4 linked regions of the Arabidopsis thaliana genome follow. The protein of the gene in region 1 purifies or fractionates together with the protein of each later gene. This does not show direct contact. Each region holds a gene or a part of one and is shown in the gene's direction. Other genes may lie near its edges. The genes, in order: AT2G37990, AT3G58660, AT2G42650 and AT1G80750.

Evidence for each region.
Region 2: the proteins of AT2G37990 (region 1) and AT3G58660 fractionate together in Arabidopsis thaliana (co-fractionation; one large-scale study listed by BioGRID). This does not show direct contact.
Region 3: the proteins of AT2G37990 (region 1) and AT2G42650 fractionate together in Arabidopsis thaliana (co-fractionation; one large-scale study listed by BioGRID). This does not show direct contact.
Region 4: the proteins of AT2G37990 (region 1) and AT1G80750 fractionate together in Arabidopsis thaliana (co-fractionation; one large-scale study listed by BioGRID). This does not show direct contact.

Annotation. Positions count from the first base shown.
Region 1 is NC_003071.7:15,898,531-15,904,058, forward strand, and holds AT2G37990 (ribosome biogenesis regulatory protein (RRS1) family protein), read left to right. Parts: upstream 1-2,104; 5' UTR 2,105-2,182; coding exon 2,183-2,283; intron 2,284-2,774; coding exon 2,775-2,925; intron 2,926-3,111; coding exon 3,112-3,163; intron 3,164-3,305; coding exon 3,306-3,434; intron 3,435-3,578; coding exon 3,579-3,696; intron 3,697-3,903; coding exon 3,904-4,087; intron 4,088-4,171; coding exon 4,172-4,285; intron 4,286-4,390; coding exon 4,391-4,498; 3' UTR 4,499-4,688; downstream 4,689-5,528. Other genes in the region: AT2G38000 (chaperone protein dnaJ-like protein), read right to left, coding at 4,785-5,169, 5,249-5,374, 5,466-5,528.
Region 2 is NC_003074.8:21,699,284-21,703,731, forward strand, and holds AT3G58660 (Ribosomal protein L1p/L10e family), read left to right. Parts: upstream 1-2,250; 5' UTR 2,251-2,290; coding exon 2,291-3,631; 3' UTR 3,632-3,831; downstream 3,832-4,448. Other genes in the region: AT3G58670 (2-aminoethanethiol dioxygenase, putative (DUF1637)), read right to left, coding at 4,410-4,448.
Region 3 is NC_003071.7:17,763,341-17,767,530, forward strand, and holds AT2G42650 (Ribosomal protein L1p/L10e family), read left to right. Parts: upstream 1-1,837; 5' UTR 1,838-2,189; coding exon 2,190-3,308; 3' UTR 3,309-3,548; downstream 3,549-4,190. Other genes in the region: AT2G42640 (Mitogen activated protein kinase kinase kinase-like protein), read right to left, coding at 49-77, 301-368; AT2G42660 (Homeodomain-like superfamily protein), read right to left, coding at 3,725-3,907, 3,999-4,128.
Region 4 is NC_003070.9:30,346,451-30,351,191, forward strand, and holds AT1G80750 (Ribosomal protein L30/L7 family protein), read left to right. Parts: upstream 1-2,219; 5' UTR 2,220-2,431; intron 2,432-2,581; 5' UTR 2,582-2,601; coding exon 2,602-2,787; intron 2,788-3,138; coding exon 3,139-3,236; intron 3,237-3,333; coding exon 3,334-3,471; intron 3,472-3,575; coding exon 3,576-3,678; intron 3,679-3,765; coding exon 3,766-3,984; 3' UTR 3,985-4,114; downstream 4,115-4,741. Other genes in the region: CMT1 (chromomethylase 1), read left to right, coding at 21-124, 228-381; AT1G80745 (Transcription factor TFIIIC, tau55-related protein), read left to right, coding at 1,264-1,347, 1,426-1,476, 1,573-1,624, 1,750-1,871; NIP6;1 (NOD26-like intrinsic protein 6;1), read right to left, coding at 4,190-4,382, 4,462-4,523, 4,601-4,741.

The DNA of each region.
Region 1 (5,528 bases):
CTGCTACCACGTGGATTCATTCCAAACACTTTCCGGATCTCAAGCCGGTCGGCAAAGAGCACCAGCGTGAAATTCGTCTTCTGCACCTTCTTCGTGCCTTGATGGCCGTTGGATCCGAATCAGACGGCCGATACACGATCTCCCTTGATCTTACATGTGAACTTGTCATTTGCGTTAAGTCAAGTACCAAATCATTTGTAAATATGTCGGACGAGGTACAAAAATGTGTTGTTATACAACAAAATATTTAAAACTCATATAAAATAAAGGTATACAAATGTGAAGAGTATTGCAAATAGATTTAGCTGGTTAGTGATGTTTTGAACGTCATGGATATTGTCGTAGTATGTGTTTATAAGTTGATCGTTGTCTATGTTTCAATGTAAAAACAGATTTTTGGATGTAATAAATTAGAAATGACAATCGGTTTTAAACTTCAATTTTCTGATAAGTGGTTCATTGAAATACTCAAAGTTGATGATTTATTTTTCCTCGTTTAGAACTTGATGATCTTCGCAAAGATCTTAATCATAATATAATTAGATTTTGTTTGTGAGTAATCCAGTCATATATAGAATTAAACACTAGCATTGTATGTTTAAGGCAAAATTGCAATTACAATAAGATTCGGTTTCATATCAAATCTCTTGTTTATGGAACATGTATGTGTCTTTTTTTTTTAAGAAGTTTTTTTGAATAGAGGTTTGGTGATAGATATGGTCCTTTTTTTTTAAGAAAGGGAGGGTATAACGATATAAATATATTCTTCTTCCAAAAAAGAGTGAAGGGCAACAAATACAAGAAGAATTATGTTGAAATCAGGCGTTAATTAAAAACATAAAATTCAGATGTGTATTCATGCTGCATTGAAATTATTTATATCGAAAATGATAATTGTAGTAGGAGTAGAATAACAAAGACATACACAAGTGCAACTCGGTGTAATTAGATAAGATCACTGCTTTGCTTCTTTGTACCTTCGATCATGTTCTTGTATAATCAAGATTCGTATAGAAGCTAATATATTCACATGTTTTTGTTCTTCTAATTATGAAGTTGAACCATCTATTATTGTAGTTGGGGATTAATGGACGATTTGAAAGAATCAACCGAAACTCACTAGATCGTGTATTTGTGTCTTGGTTTTATGTTTTATCTTTTTAAAAATTTCTATACTGAATCTGGTTTTCTTAGCAGCTTAAATTTTTAATTAATATCAGAATGAGATCATGATAAAACTTTTCACAAAATTGTTGATCTTGTATTAGAGAACAAATTGAACAACCATGAGAATGAATTTCATGAGTCACACACATCTTCACATTATCTAGATGGAAACAAGTATACTTACTAGAAAATTCAAATGGAGCCACCTATCAAATAAATCCCCTGTTAGATAACTCATGATCAAGATATTCATGATCAAGAAATTATCTACTCGATTTTCTGTTTTAGCTCTTTTGATAAACACTAATTTTTAAGTGTTTTATATTCCTCACACACATATTCACCAATAGATTAGTCATTAATCTCAAGTTAACACACGTACCTTTATATTCAATAGACCTAAGTCTTGTTTCTGACCTCAAACTGTTGGTGCCAGACTCCCACTTCCATGTTCGAACTTCTTTACATTCTTTAAGTCAGGTTATTTTTTGGATTCCAACTGTAGTGACAATCCATACATTCCATGGCTACCAAACTTATCTTGATTCACATTATGCTAAGAAGCTAAAACATACAAAAAGAACCGAAATTGTCGTGAGTTTTTTTAATACGATAGGGTATTAATGTATTCTTAACAACGTTATGGTCTTGAGAAATAAAATATGCAAATCTCGGGTAGGGTTATTTGGATTAGTGAAATTTGGGATTTTCTTAATTTAAGGCTAAAAACTATGAAATTTAGAGATTTATGACAGTTAATAAATACGAATAACGGTGTTCGTTGCAATTTTATGTGGTACTTATTTGTTTTTAAAAAAAAAGTTTAGTACTAAATTGTTCGATTTCGAAAGTTAAATATATTTTTGAAAGTTATAAAGGAAGAAAGGATTTCTTAGCAAATTTCCGTTATTTAAGTTGGAGAGAAAAGGTTTAACTCAAAATATCGCAAAACCCTAACAAAAAATTTTCATTCTTCCTCCACTCTCTCAATTCCAAAACACTGCGCCGGGAAGACATGGACACCGAGATGGAGACAGAACAAATATACCAGGTCGATGTCGGAAATCTCTTGGCTTTCAATCCCAATCACCGCTTCCCATCTGCTCCTTCTTCAAGGTTCGTCCTTTCCCGTCTTATCTTAAGCTTGTGTTGAGTTCTTCGATGGCGGCGGCTTGATTATATATTTGTTTAATCCTGATTTAGTTGATTTGGAATGGGTTTATCTTCATACTTGTTGTAAACTTTTCAATTGCTGAATAATGTTAAGTAAAGTATGAATTTTTTCGTAAGAGTGATTTATTAACAAAAGCTCTGTTTAAGTACAAGAGTTTCTTCAATTAGTTTCTCTAAGCATCAATCTCGGAAGTACAAGAGTTAAATATCTTAAGACGATGACCCAATCGAAAAGGTTGCGTCTTTAAGCAACTTCTCTGAGTGCTGTTTTAAGAGTTTTGGGAGTTGAACCTCTTCCTCAGTTGCATTCTTTTGTAATTAGGGAACAATGCTGTGTCGCTATCAATACAATATCGTCTTACTTGAGTTACTTGTTTCTGTTGAGAGCTTGTTTTATTTCTGTCCTTGATGATGATTTGTTCGAATTATTTTAGGGGGGAGCTTGTGAAGGAGATCCTAACGGAGGGAACAAAACTTGTTCAGGAAATAGCCAATAAACTTTTCAACTTTCCTTCTACTGAAACAAATGATGGTCCTATTGTCCAATTGCCTCCGCCTACAACCAAACTTCCTAGAGAGAAACATGTAAGATCTTCCTTTTTATTTTCCACTATCTCCATTCTCATGCAACACATGGATTTAACCAGTTTCAAATGCAAACGAGTGATTTCTTGTATGAGCTTATCCAAAAGACTAGAACAAGTTCATATTTTTGCTCATCACTTATCTTTGTATTGTACTAAAGCTTGTAACCTTCTCCTCTTTTCCCAGATTCCAAGGCCTAAGCCTCCTACGAAGTGGGAAGAGTTTGCGCTTAAGAAAGGTAAAAGCTGTTTAAGAAATTGTTTTAAGGATTGGAAGCTTTATTTTGTTCAGATTTTGATGGGTCGACGACCTCTGTGTTCTATAGTTTGAAGGTACTAATGTTTATTTCGTTTGGAATTGTTCTTGGTTCTGTTTCTTAGGTATACAGAAGCGCAAGAAGGAAAAAGTTGTATGGGATGAACAAACTAATCAGTTTAAGCGTCGCCATGGTTATGACCGTGTTAACGATGATAATGATGTTCCCATCATTGAGGCGAAAGAATCAGATGGTAAGTCTTATGGAAAACAACTATCTTAGATTATGTTGTTAGAGACAATGTTGAAATCTAATCTCTTTGAGTTTGAAGACAAGGATATGGAGTTGCATTACATTATTTTTTCTACTATTTATGAAAGCTTTTGGTTAATTGCAGAACCAGGAGTAGATCCTTTTGCCAAGAGACTAGATGATAAGAAGAAGAGAGTTGGAAAGCAAGAAAAGAATAGACTTCAGAATCTGAAGGCTGCTGAAAAAGCTGGTGCTTTACCAAGGTAAAACAGCTTCTTTGATCGGTATTGCATTTGTTATCCTTGCGTGAGATAACATACTAATGTAGTTGCTAAAATCTAAGTGTTATCTGACGGAAAGAAATTGAAGTCAATCCTAGCTCGATATAGGATTTCTTTTTGGAATTATCATACCACCTTTTTCATGGTTTTTGAAAACTGAAGGTCTAACTGGGTCAACATTATTTGCAGCCATGTCCAACTTGCTGCAACATCATTGCCCATATCAGGAACGAAAGCTCAACCAAAGAAAATTGGAAAGGATGAACTTGGAGATGTAGCAGGTTTAGCCGCTACTTCAACCGCTAGTGGTGGAAAATTCGATAAAAAGTTGCCTGGAGAAAAACCTCCAAAGAAGCAGGGCAAACATCACAAGGTAATTTAGTAATCTTGTCCCTCCTTTGATAATTTGATTACTAAATGACCATATCTGTTGATGATATTTGTGGAATATTTGCAGTATTTACCGGTTGTATCAGGGCGTGGGGATGTTAACGCAGAAAAAGAACAGACAAATAATGTACTCAGCAAGATATTCTCAAAGCATTCGCATGAGATCCTCAATGTTGGCAAGGTAAAACCAATTCACTTCTCAGCTCTCCTCTCTGGTTTGGTCTATTACCTCTGATGTTTGTATGTGAAAAGATTGTGTTAAACTGTTGCGTATAATATGATTTAGGCGATAAACATGTACAACGTCAAGAAGGAGAAGAAGAAGTCAGGAAGGTCAGACAAGTTGAAACCTAAGAAGGACATCACCAAGAAGCCTGCCAACAAAGCCAAGTGAAGAGACTCTCCCATGTCTAATTTACTCTTCTATCTGTCTCCATCTTCTATCACAAAACAAATTTTGGGTTGCTCTGTTAAAGTAATACTTTATGAGTACGTTTATTTTAATCTTATTGACTTCATATTTTGCACCATAAAACAATTTAAAGCTCGCAAGGTCTAGAAATCCAGTTTGATTTTCTCTCTAAAGCTCTCAATCCACACTAATATTCAAACACATTGACTACACTCTATCTTGTCTCTTTACATTCAAGTAGAGAAGAACAAAGATCAACTCTGGTTTTTCAAACCTTTAACCACTCAAGACAGGGACACAAACCCCAACAGAATCTTGCTGGGTAATAATCTTTCAAGTATATCTCCTTACCAAAACCGATTATGTAAAAGCTGAACGCTTTCCCACGATCTTCCATGGTGACACGAGTCACAGGCACAACAGATATGGTGTGTCTCTCACATACTACATTCGCTGTCGGTGGAACTTCAGCTCTTAACGAGATAACTTCTGAGGAGAATCTGTTGAGGAAATATGAGTCTGCAAAGTAAGCTGGCGTGCACTGGTAAGCTTGTGTGTTGCAAAGCTGAACTCCTTCTGCTCTGTCAAATACTTCTTCTGGTACTGACCCAGCTCCTCTTGTTGCACTCACCTTTCGCTTCGACAGAGTCTTCCTGTCAAAACCGAAAACAACAATCAAATATTTCAATTGCCACTTCAAGCCACATGTTCTTAAGAATTTCTAAAACCTACCATTTTACAACTGCGATACTACTTGTCAGAAGAGAACCAGTACTGTCACAAGTCTGACATTTGATTAACCCGCGAGATTGGCAAGTTGGGCAAGGAAGCTTTCCCTTACCGTTACAGTTGGTGCATCTGCGGAGAAAAGAGAGTTTTCTGTAATTAAAACCACACTTTTCATTTTGCAACCATCAAAGTATAAGTAGAGTTCTTGATCTGAACTCACATTGTGTCGGACCCATCTTTATGAGCAACCAAGCCTCTTCCATAGCAAGTGGAACACTTCATC
Region 2 (4,448 bases), on another chromosome or scaffold:
CGCTGGATCCCATCAAACAACAAGACCCCAGATAAAAAAGATCAAAACTTTTCCATTTTATTATAATGAATCACCCAATTTCAGCTGAAGGATATAGAGAATGTGATTGATATAGCAGAAGATTAAAGGAAATTAGATCAGGAATGAAATTTGATTACCTCTCAGTTTCTCAGGCTGCCAAAGATCTCATTTTTTACTTATGGATCCATCCATTAAGTGTAATTTGCAGAAACCCTATACCGAATTCAGCAAAATGAGAACCCAGACAGACACAGCTGAGAGATGTTTTGCAAATTGGATTGACCCAAATCGAAACAATGGTGGCTTTGGGAGATCTAGCCCTAAAGATCGACCAAAGCTCTCCACTTTTATCTCTCTCAGCTCACGAATCGCACTGTAGAACAAGAACAACGACCATGGAAGAAGATAAAAACACAAAATGAGATTTATCAAATCAGACAAACAAAACAAAGAAAATATTTGGGGGGTTTTGGAGGAATGCGTAAGATCAGGAAGGCTCAAAGCAGATTTGAGATTAGGGATTTGGGTAGTGAGCTAAGAGAAGTGAAGAAGCAGCAAGAGACGTTTTTAAAAAAATGAGAGAAGCTGAGTTTGAATTGAAATGACGACAGAGAGAGCCGTTGCAAAGAGAGAGAGAGAGAGAAAGACAGACAGAGACAAAGAGAGTTTTGAATTTAGGAAACTGAAAGCTCCCTCCTTTGAGCTATTAAAAGTGTTTCTTTTTTCTATACATAAAAGGAAAATCTTTTGTTTCAACAACTATTTTGGCTTTTATACATATAGCATGATCTCATCTACAAATATATATAGCTTGATGATGTTTTTTTTTTTTTTTTGTCACAAGCTTGATGATGTTTATATTTGGTATCCAATGCAGATGGAAATATATAGCTTGATGATGTTTATACATGTTTCAGTTCAGTTTGCAGTTTCAAACATAAGAGAATTTGAATTGGTTAGGGGACAAAAAAAACACATAATTTAAAAGAGGTCATAACGATTCAATTTTCAGGTGTAGAAAAATAAAGGCAAAGACTTTATTGTAAACAGTGCAATCACTGTATATATTAATATTCCATTTTGATTATTATAAAATTATTTCGTTGGGCATTACCACAATTCATATTTGTGTCCGTCTCACAAGGGCTCCACTTTCGTATAGTTTTGAATATTTGTAATATGCTGCATTCTATGATTCGAATTACTTAAAAGTTCAAATTTTTTTTGGACTCTTGATATTTCACAATCAGTTTTTTTTTTTAAAAACAGAATAAATGAGTAGAGGAAGTTGTTGTGGTTTGAGTTGCTTCGAAGTAGCGAAACCAAAGAGAGTAGAGTATATGAGAACGATGTCTGAACAATTCGATAAAATCCCTAGGAAGCTTTACACGCATGAAGACTTGAATCTCACAATGCAGAGCCGATAGTGAATTCATACTTTTCAAAGTTAAACTTCCGAAAATAAAATCAAATTAATAACATTTCAAAACTTTTAATCAGTAGTTTACTAGCTGTTACAAACCGAAATATTTTAATAAACAGAGAGAGAAAGTTAAAGAGACAATGACAAAACACAAACCAACATGGTTGAAAGGTTGACTCATATATATATATATATATATATATATATATATATATATATTGAGTATTTAATTTCTTATTTTTAATTCCAAAAATCATTATTTTAGATCAATAGTTTTTATTGATTTTTTTGTAAACTATTGAATAATAGAGAATTTTAAATTTTCCTAGATCCCTAATTCCAACATACTTATTTCTCTGTTGATTCTTTTTATCTCCAAAATCGACTTTAAAAGATTGATATTCAATAGTTTTAATCAAACAGTTTCTATTTTAAAAATCGTTGAAACCAAATCTCGTGGATTTCTAGATCTATAACTATTAATTCAAGAAGATTTAGATATTGAACTTTTGTTTCGGAAAGAAATAGATATAAAATTATTTCTTCGAGGACATATAGATCGTGCTCACAAATCAGATTCTATCTAGTATGATGTGTCGAGGAAATAGACTGTTTTCCGGAAGAGATAGTCGAAATTCGTATATGGGCCAATCTTTATAAGAAAATAACCTTTAGAAAAGTTACACTAGAAGAAAGTCCGGCCCATCTTTATAAGAAAACTATTATGGGCCAAAATAAAGGTAGGCCCATTAACCCAGGGAAATAATATATCAGTGATAAATCCTTCTTCTGTCCCCTTCCTCCTTAAACCCTAATCTCTGTACTCTCTCTTCCTCAATCCCTCCCATGACCACCGCAGTTTCGCCGCCGCCGCCGCAGGAGCAGCAACTTGTTCACGCTTCGCAGACTTCAAGAGTGAGTCCCAAGACAGTGGAGAGCGCCCTCAATGGTCTTATCAATTGGAGAAGCGACAAATCAAAGACAGAGAAGCCTCAACTTCTCGAAGAAGACGAGCTCGTCTACCTTTTCGTTACTTTGAAGAAGATTCCACAGAAGACCCGTACGAATGCTTACCGTATCCCTTTACCTCATCCTCTTATCAACCCGACGGTCGATTCGCCGGAGATTTGTCTCATCATCGACGACAGACCTAAAAGTGGTCTCACCAAAGATGATGCGATGAAGAAGATCAAATCTGAGAATATTCCAATCACCAAGGTTATTAAGCTTTCGAAACTGAAGAGTGATTACAAGGCGTTCGAAGCGAAGAGGAAACTCTGCGACTCTTACGACATGTTTTTCACTGATCGGAGGATCATTCCTCTGCTGCCGAGGGTGATTGGGAAGAAGTTCTTTACGAGCAAGAAGATTCCGGTGGCGCTTGATTTGAAGCACAGGAACTGGAAACATCAGATAGAGAAAGCTTGTGGATCTGCTATGTTCTTCATAAGGACTGGGACGTGTAGTGTCATTAAGGTTGGGAAATTGTCTATGGATATTTGTGAAATTACTGAGAATGTGATGGCGACATTGAATGGACTAGTTGAGTTCTTGCCTAATAAGTGGACGTACGTTAGGTCTTTGCATTTGAAGTTGTCTGAGAGTTTAGCTTTGCCTATATATCAGTCTGTTCCTGATTTGAAGCTTAAAATCGATGCTTTTGGGTCTGGAAAGAGTGTTGTTCAGGAGGAGAAGGAAGGTGAAGTTGAAGAAGTTGTTGCTGTTGATGGTGGAGAGAAGAGTGTTACAGGGAAGGGAAAGAAGAAGAAAGGTAGGATTCACGAGGTTAGGTATATGGATAGTAATGTAGCTGAGGTGCTTGATGAGGATGAGATTGGTGGTGACGAGGATAATAATGAGATTGTTGAGTCTGAGGAGAAGAAGATGAAGAAGAGGAAGAAGGAGGTAAGTGAAGTTGCAGAGAGTGAGAAGCCGATGAAGAAAGCTGCCAAAGGGAAGTTGAAACCTGATGTTGAGAAACCGATGAAGAAAGCTGCCAAAGGGAAGTCGAAACCCGATGTTGAGAAACCTATGCAGAAAGCTGCGGTCAAGGGGAAAGTTAAACCAGATGTTGTGAAGCTGGAGAAGAGCAAGGACGGCTTAAAGGCGAAAAAGACAACAATGGTTGCGAAAGACGAATCTGGTGGTGGATTGAAGCCGAAGAGAAAGAGTGTGCTTAGGAAATGAGGCAGAGGAAGGTCTTGAGTGTTTGCTTTTGAGTATGATTTATGTTTTATTTTCTATCGTAGTTCTTATTACATTTTTGAGCCATTTCATATCTTGTACTACTTCTATGAAACATTGAACTGGTGAATGTGGGTTTGATGGTTTTGTGGAGGAAACATACTACTGTTCACCTTTTAACTTTTTAAAGGTTTTTCTTTCTAAACAAAGACTATTTATCTGAATTTATTGCAATAAGCATTGATCAGGTTATGATGGTACTTGCATGATCTTGATCCCCATCTCTTAGTAAATGGCTCACCAAAGCTTTAACCATTTAAATCATATAGAGGTCTCTTAGAACAGTTATACCCAAAATCTGCATGAGTTTTTTTATTACTCGCAAGCCAGCACAGCACTTCAGGCTTCGTCTTTCAGTCATAAGAAGAATTAAAAGTTGATATGATCTAGAGAAGACATGAAATAAGGAAATGCAAAAGATCAATGGAAACAAAATTTATGATAACTAAATAGAACACTGTTTATGAGCAATTTTTTGTGTAGCTGCATATAAAAATAGGGGGAAAAAATTATAATATTAAACTAGTGAAGTAATCATAAAGTTGTATGTAGTAAACATTATCATACAACGACATAGGCTGGAACTTAATGTGGTCACAATTATGTAAGAACCTCGACCATTATGCAGCCAGCCTCTGAATGGTTTACCAATTATTCTCCTGATCATAAGCACCTTTCTCTTTCTGCTCTTTTTTAATATGTTTAATCCTTTTTGTATTTCTCATTTTCTAATCACTGGACCTCTGTACGGAACTCTCCA
Region 3 (4,190 bases), 1.9 Mb from region 1:
AGACGAATAACGTAGGTACCAAAATATTAAGAATCAAACTTCGCTTACCAGTAGCTTGGACCTCTAGGTCAGCTAACCTACATAGGCAAAAGCAGAATGGTTAAGTAAATATAGACTCGGATATACTGTTGCAGAAATAAATGTTTCAGTGACATACTAAGTTGCATTCCATATATTCCTTATCAAAGCATTTAACTAGTAGACAATTCTCAAAGACTGGCTACAAAACTTATTCAAAGTGTTGGACTTTTCGATACTTATAGAAGAGATTCACTTCAATAATTCAGCCTCAGAACTTACGACAAGATCACGGAACCATTTGATTCCACCACTGATCCTCGGTGACCTCTGCAACACTTAGCTCCCATTTTCAAGTCCTCGGTTGCAAAATTTCAAATTCCTGCATAGATTTCAAAACCCATTTCAAAATAAAATCCCACCAACTTCGATGGATTCAAACACACAAGAACCCATAAACCAAACGGTCTAAAATCATATAAGAAAAGGCTAAAGAGCAAAAGAAGAATAAGGGTTTATGAAAAAACTCACAGAAAGCAGATAAACGTCCTTCCAATTCCAAAATCCAGCAATCAATCTGCTTAAATCGCACTGCGAAACAAGAGAAAGACAGAAGAGAGATCTGAAGATTGCCATGATCAAGCAACAAAGAGCTAAACGTACACACATATAGAGTATGTGTACGTATATGCATAGAGATTTGCAACAGAGATTCATGAGATAAAAATTGGATTTTGGAGGTTTTGAAAGTTTTGATTTTGATGGCGGAAGAAGCAAAAACACAGTCAAGGGGTTTTACGAAAGTGACGAAGCAAGTCACGTGCGAGGGATTATGAGTCACGTGCCGAGAAGCACTTATTCACAGGATATATTTCATAAGTACAATTTTGTCCTCTACCTACATGGATTGTTTTTGTCATCCATTTCTATCTCAAAGATCTTCGAAACAAGATACATATTTGATAGTCATTACACTATGAATGACAATATATTATCAGATTGTTCATGCATATGAGATAGATTTCTTAAAAGAGGATGATGTAAATGAACAAGAATCTAACAAGAGTTTGATGAAAAATGAGGATGAACTTTTTTTGAAAAGAGTATAATAGAAAATCAACGAATGTATTCAATCTTCGAAAAAGATTGCAATAAGAATGACTCAAGAGAATTCATCCTACTTCAATATTGATGTTGATTATGATACTTACACGTCAACAACAACAGATCATCAAAGTGTTTGGCAGTGCGGCTATTTCTTTGTTTGTCAAAAACCTGACATTTCTATCATTTCATGTATTCTCTCAATGAACTCAATAAGATATCACACATTTTGGTTTATAAAGAAATCCCTCCATTTATATAGTACTTACATAAAGAAAAGTGTTTGAGAATTTTGTTTTGGTTATCTAAATATTGACATTTTCAATTAATGTGATTCTCACTTTTTTCTTAAAGAAATATTTATTTTTAAAGTTTGAAGAGCTATAAGAGGAATTAGACATTTTGCGAAGGGAATAAAAACTTGAAAATAAAGAAAACAATTTTATTAATAATTATATTGTCCAGGTGTATATACTTTATTTCTTTGTATATAAAAATTAGCATCAAATATATTTGGTAAGTACGTTTTAGACAAGTATGGTAAATGACAGCCAAGTACTACATGACTCATATTTTATATAATTAATTTCATATTTTAAATTTATATCTATATCTACATTAACATGAAATAAAAAAGATTTCATGTATTGATAAAATAAGCTAGTTTGTCATAATTTCCTATATCTTAAATCTTACCAATTACCATCTTCTAAAAGTTTCTCTTACCACACAAAAAAAAAATCTTCAAAACATTTCTCCTATGCAAAACTTGAGGACAATTTATAAAACAACATAGTTAAGCCCATTAACTAATATTATGGGCCTTAAGAAACGCAAAACAAACTCGTTTAATAGAAAAGATTTCTCCGATGCAAAAACTTGAGGACAATTTATGAAAACAATATAATTAAGCCCATTAACCAATATTATGGGCCTTAAGAAACCCAAAACAAACTCGTTTAAAAGTCATCGTCCTCCGTAAACCCTGAATCTTCCTTCACAGAACCCTAAATAACTTTTCTTTTCCTCCGACCACCGCAGCTCAGCCGCAACCGCCGCCACCACTTATGTCAAGAGTAAGTCCCAAGACTGTGGACGATGCAGTTAAGGCTCTGGTCAAAGAGGGAAACGAAAAATCAAGGACGGAGAAGCCACAGCTTCTAGAAGAAGACGGATTCTTTTACCTAGTCGTAGCCCTAAAGAAGATTCCACAGAGGAATTTTACGAACGCTTATCGTATTCCTCTCCCGCATCCGCTAATTAACACTACCGAAGACTCACCGGAGCTCTGTCTCATCATCGACGACAGACCTGAAAGTGGTCTCACCGAGGAAGATGCGAAGAAGAATATCAAATCAGAGAACATACCAATCACGAAAGTTGTTAAGCTTTCGAAGCTGAAATCGGATTATGGATCATTCGAATCGAAACGGAAGCTTTGTGATTCATACGATATGTTTTTCTCAGATCGGAGAGTGATTCCTATGTTGCCAAAATTGATTGGGAAGAAGTTCTTTCAGAGCAAGAAGACTCCTGTGGCTATTGATTTGAAGCATATGAATTGGAAAGAGCAGATTGAGAAAGCTTGTGGTGCTGCTATGTTCTTCATGAGGACTGGGTCTTGTAGTGCGATCAAAGTTGCGAAATTGTCCATGGAAAGCGATGATATCGTTGAGAATGTGACGGCGACTTTGAATGGTGTTGTTGATGTTTTGCCTAGTAGGTGGAAATACATAAGATCTTTGCATTTGAAGTTATCTGAGAGTTTATCTTTGCCATTATATCAGACAGTGCCTTATTTGCAGCTCAAGATTGATCCTTTAGGTGTTGAAGAAGTTAAGAATGGTGAAGGATTAGCTAAAAGTGATGTTGATGATAGTAGTAGTAAGAGTGTGAAGACAAAGAAGAAGAATGGAAAGATTCATGAGGTTAGATATATGGATAGTAATGTATCTGAGACTCTTGGTGATGATGAATTCGATAGGAGTGTTGGAGAAGATGAGGTTGCTGATGATCTCAATGCTTCTGGAGATAAGAAGAAGAGGAAGAAGATGAGTAGTAGTAAGTCTGCAGTGAGTGGGAAACCAGACATTGTGAAGAGTAAGAATGGGCAAAAGTCGAAAAAGCTAAAGAAGGACATTGATGAGTCTGGTGGTGGATTCAAAGCTAAGACTAAGAGGAGGTGAACCAAGAAAAGAAGATTTTATATTAATGTCGTTATAACTAAGTATTCTATTCTTTCTGCTTGAGTGATTTTTTTGGATACTGATTATGACTTTGTCTTATTATGGTATCATCATCATGATTCTTATATATTTAGGACTTTTATTATCGTTTACTATTTCATCAAACTAGTGACTTGCCATGTAGTTGATTTGGTGGTTTTGACGAGGAAACATATTATTACATGTGTTTTGTTGCATTCCAGAATTGGTGTTGTATTGAATGCAGAGAAACCGCTAAGGATAAGTACTTGCAGGATCTGACTCAAGCCTGATCCAGATCCTGGCTAAGTACTCATCCCATGAAACGGCTAAGGAAAACAAAAGTCTCTACTCTTGAATCTCTTTTAAAGTTAAACTTCATCTCTCTAGTATGTTGGTTACGGTTCTGATGATGTCGACAACAGAGAGAGCGAGAGCATTGTGTTGATATCATCTGTTGGTTTTTGCCTGCAATTTCCAAACTCAGGCAACTGTATCCCACCTCCGGACATTGATTTCAATCGTTTGACTGATGATACTTCTTCATCTCGGACTCTTTTCTCATTGTTCTTCTTCCTAATCTGCATAAGATTTCACCAAGATTACAGTACCTTCCTCGGTTTTTAACAAAACTGTTCCTCTATAACTCTTAAAACGAAAGTAGGTAGTTACCTCGAGTAGAGGCAGAGTCTTGTTCTCTGTGCTGTCTCGGTCATTTCTGCATAACCCGCTAAACCAGCTCGAAGGTCGCATAAGAAAGTTACCTCCAAGATTTGTAACGACCGCGTCTTGATTGAGTACCCTACAGAAAAGAATGCAATTTTAACTTCCTTGGTCGGATCGGATATACAAATGTGAAACATT
Region 4 (4,741 bases), on another chromosome or scaffold:
ATTAAAACTGGTTGATGCAGTGTGTAATCCATCCAATGCAAAACCGTGTGTTGTCTGTTCGTGAGAATGCGAGATTACAGGGGTTCCCTGATTGTTACAAGCTCTGTGGAACAATTAAGGAAAAGTAAGTCCTTGGTTCTTGCTGCTTTTCTATCTATGTATATGATTGTTTTTAAACTGGAGATCCTAATGTATGTAAAAACTGGGTTTGAATCTAAATTTTGTAGGTACATCCAGGTTGGGAATGCTGTGGCAGTTCCTGTAGGGGTTGCATTAGGATATGCCTTTGGTATGGCGAGTCAAGGACTGACGGATGATGAACCAGTAATCAAGCTGCCATTCAAGTATCCCGAATGCATGCAGGCAAAGGATCAAATCTGATTGACAGTCTCCATCAAGTCGTCATGATGAAACTATCTTTAGGAATCATACTTCATTTTCTAGACTTTCTTTTAATTTTTTGGGTTAGCAAGAGCTATATGCTCAAACAATGGCGGCTTAAACTGTCTAGCTCTTTCTTGTTGGTTTATCTTTGACTTTATAATCATTTGGAACCATTTTATTTCTTATGATTTTTAATCTCAAGATTTCAAATTCTATTGCGTAGACTTCAATCCTACGTGATGCCATCCAACAAGAATTAAGACCAAGCAAAAGACAGACAAAACCTGTTATTGAGCATCCGAGGTGCTAGGTACGTCCGTGATCTCTCGACGAACATTGGTTCGATTTTGCGTAATTCAGTTGCCACCGACCGACCGAAACTCTGGTCAATGATCACCACTTACCAGCTTTTATTAGTGTTATTCATTCATTCGCAAAAGCTAAGTAAATTCGAAGGCAGTTAGGCCCACAAGCCCATATAATGGTGAAAGATTTGGTTCACCCAAATAATGTCCCCACTCCTTCGGTTGGGCTTTTACGTTATAATATTCGGCCCAAATTTGATATCTCATAACAGAGCAAATTTTTCACATAGAAGAAGCAGAGAAACCAATTGATCTACTTTTTTTTTTTTTTTGTTTCTTCCTCTTCATCAGGCTTGTTCTTCGATTCCCTCACTTAAAGAAGGGTTTCGAATTTGCTCGAAAGATTGAAAGGAAAAAAAGAAAGAGGTGAACCATTCTCAACATAAATTTGTTGTTTAGGAGATGTAAGAATGATAATTTCTTGGATCTAATCGCGTTCAGAAAGTGAGAAAGTTTTAGGATTCATAAATATCTTTGTGTTCTTCTCCACCCTAATAAACACATTGATACAGAGATGGAGGATGAACATGTTATGATTGATCTTGATGACGTTTCAAGGCACATTGACATTCCAGCAGATGCTCCTTATACTTTATCAGTTAGTTCAATCCAATTCTTTCATTTCACTTTTTGCATTCTCTTGTTTTATAAGTTTGGTTTTGTTTGGTTCTCATAGGGTTTGGATACTTTGAATCCGGTGTTGACCATAGATGGCAAAATGAAGCTGGTAATTCTCTTACTTGCAACTAGTACAATTTTCCAAGTTCAGTTACTCTTTTTGCTTAAACCATTCTTAATCGTGTTAGATTTGATGATCTCTCAGGTAGGAGAATATATAGCAACGATTGGTACATGCCTTGCTTTCTCTGACAAAGGTTAGTTTCACTTTTCCTCTTTATTATCAAACATGGAAACACATGTTATTGTTTCAAGTAATTATTCTGTCCCTTCAAGATGCTGATTTGGGGTTGCGGTTTCTTCATTTGTCTGTTTGCACAAGGTGATAACCAGACGCCACAGAAGAAGACAGTTGAACCTGTTGCCAAACTCCACAAGATTCTCAAGTTTAGGTTAGCACCATTAGACAACGAAGATGGAGTAACAAAAACAACCAATTTGTAAAAGTTTTTCTCTTGTTCAAGTCATTGGAAACCTGACTTTTCTTCAAAGATCATATTAAAAAAAAGAACTATAACAATAACCGACAGATTATATATGTAGCTAAGGCACATGCAGCATCTTCCTTTGTTGGCCTCTTGAAAGTAGCAATCAAACTAAGACCAAACCAAAAGGTAACTAAACGATTCACAACTTCAACGTACGTTTTCATGATTTGTCCTTCTGATGATGTCAATAAAATAAAAACTGAATTGAATCAACCAGTGATGGAGAAATTATGCATCCCATGTAATTAAAAGAAACAAAATCACACAAGATATTATAAAATAAAACTAGGTATATTCAAAGGCAGTAAGGCCTTACATAAGCCCATAAATATTGGGCTTTTTTAGCCCAATAGTATTATGAGTCTGGCCCGGAGCGTAATTAGGTCTGGTGGCAAAGTTGTTAATAACACAAAAGAGATTTTAGTTAATAAACCCTAGGCTTCTCAAATCGGCCATTGCTACCAACTTCGACTTGGAATTCTTTCAGCCGCCGTCCCAATTGCTTTGCCGCCACCGGTAAATTTGTTCCCCCTTTTCCGTTCTTCTTATCTTGTTCATTCTGTTGGTGTCCCTATAGCCTCACTTTCTTATAGGGTTGAGTTCAGTCTCTGTTTATAAACTTTTTTCGCAAAAAAATTCAATCTGACAATCTGTTTTGTGTTGTAGAAGCAAAGAGTAGAGAGATAATGGCTGAGGAAGAAGCTAAGGGTTTGGATTACATACCGGAGATAGTACTGAAGAAGAGGAAGAACAGAGATGAGCTTGCCTTTATCAGGAAGAAGCAACTTGAGTTGGGTAATTCCGGCAAGAAGAAGAAGAAAGTCTCTGATATCAAACGTCCTGAAGATTTTGTTCATGAGTTCAGGGCTAAGGTACACTTCTTTTTTTCCAGATTCTCTGAAAAACTTTTGCTTTGTCTTTTTCCATTCGTTTTACTGCCTCAAGTTCTGATTTTTGCTTCTTGACTTTTGTCTACACCTTAGAAGAACTTGTTTTTGCTTATTCTTTGAGTTAAATTAAAGCTATACATCAACCTTTATGATTAGGTTTTGTCACTTATCTCTTAGACTGTAACTTTTCTACAGATAATTTTGTGTTTCTCCTTTGAGATTTCTCCCTAGTTTTGCAAGGTTGTGCTTAGGACTTGTTGTTTCTTCTGTCAATCCTGCATTGTTCTCTGTAATTTAACTGTTCCCTTTTTGCTAATTTTATCCCTACTTAAGGAAGTAGATATGATCCGGATGAAGCAAAGAGTAAAGAGGCCAAAGTCATCTCCTCCACCAGTTAAATCTGACCTGGTTTTCATCATACGCATTCAAGGGTATTTGATATTCTCCAATTAGCTTTGTTTTCCCCCTGGAGTTTTAATCTTTATCTCTGCCTGTTTCTTATCCTTGCCTTTTCTTTCTGGTGACCAGCAAGAATGATATGCACCCAAAGACCAAGAGGATTCTTAACAATTTGCAACTAAAGAGCGTCTTTACTGGTGTATTTGCTAAAGCAACTGACAGTTTGTTCCAAAAGCTTCTCAAAGTGCAGCCTTATGTCACTTATGGGTACGTAGAGACAATCAATCCTCTTTCAATATTTCCTTGTTACTCGATTTCCATGCTGTTTCTCTATTCTCGTATGAGCTAACCGATGTTTACGATTCTTGAAGATACCCGAATGATAAGAGTGTTAAGGACCTTATATACAAAAAGGGATGCACAATCATTGAGGGAAATCCTGTTCCTCTTACCGACAACAATATAATCGAACAGGTAAAATTTCCTACTCTTAAAAGTATAGGAGCTTATTCCAGATAATAACCATGCTGTTCTTAATCGTTTCCACTTTTGTTACCTTAGGCTCTAGGAGAACACAAAATCTTGGGCATAGAAGACCTTGTGAATGAGATAGCAAGAGTCGGAGATCATTTCAGAGAAGTTATGAGATTCTTGGGACCCTTGAAACTCAACAAGCCTGTGGCTGATGTTTTGCACCGGAAGAAACAAGTTTTCAGCGAAGGAGGAGATACCGGAAACCGCGAAGATAAGATCAATGATCTCATCAGCAAAATGAATTAGAAGCAGCAATCGTTGTAATCGCTAGCTACTTACTATATTTTCCTTAAAAGATCTGTACGAGGCTAAAAACCAACCATTTTGATGAAACACTTGCAATTTTGGTTAAAGGGCATTCCAAATTTTATAAGCATCGTCGACTTCAGATATTATATTATACACATATATTTATGTGATGTAAACAGAGTAATATAGAAGCGAGTGTTTTTCATCTTCTGAAGCTCCTCCTCTCTTTGGGTGCTTCATCTTCCTCTGGCAACTTGACAATTGTGTATGTACCTGCTCCGATTAACGCTCCAAGAATGGGGGCAGTGAGGTAAACCCAAATAGCTCTGTAATTGTTTGCTGCAATGGCTGGACCCAGTGTTCTTACAGGGTTCATCGAAGCAGAAGTTGCAGGTCTGTTGGACACAACATCATGATCAGTAACATGTATTATTATGTACAAGAACTGAATTCAAGAAATGATGGTTTATTTACCCAGCTATAAGTATGTTAAGCATGACCGTTGCTCCTACGGCAATTCCCGCCAACTCTCCCACCTGTAATCTTGTGATTAGTTTTCATTGACGTCCAAAATTTCAAGACTCTTCAAAAACGTTTTTTATAAGTAATTTACAGCTCTCGTGTCGGTGGCTACGGCTGTGACAACGAACATGAGGTTGAAGCTGATAATGAATTCCAAGGCGAAAGCTTGGCTGAGACCCACCGTCGGCACCGTCACGCCACCGCTCATCGTTGGTTCAAACACTGCTTTCAG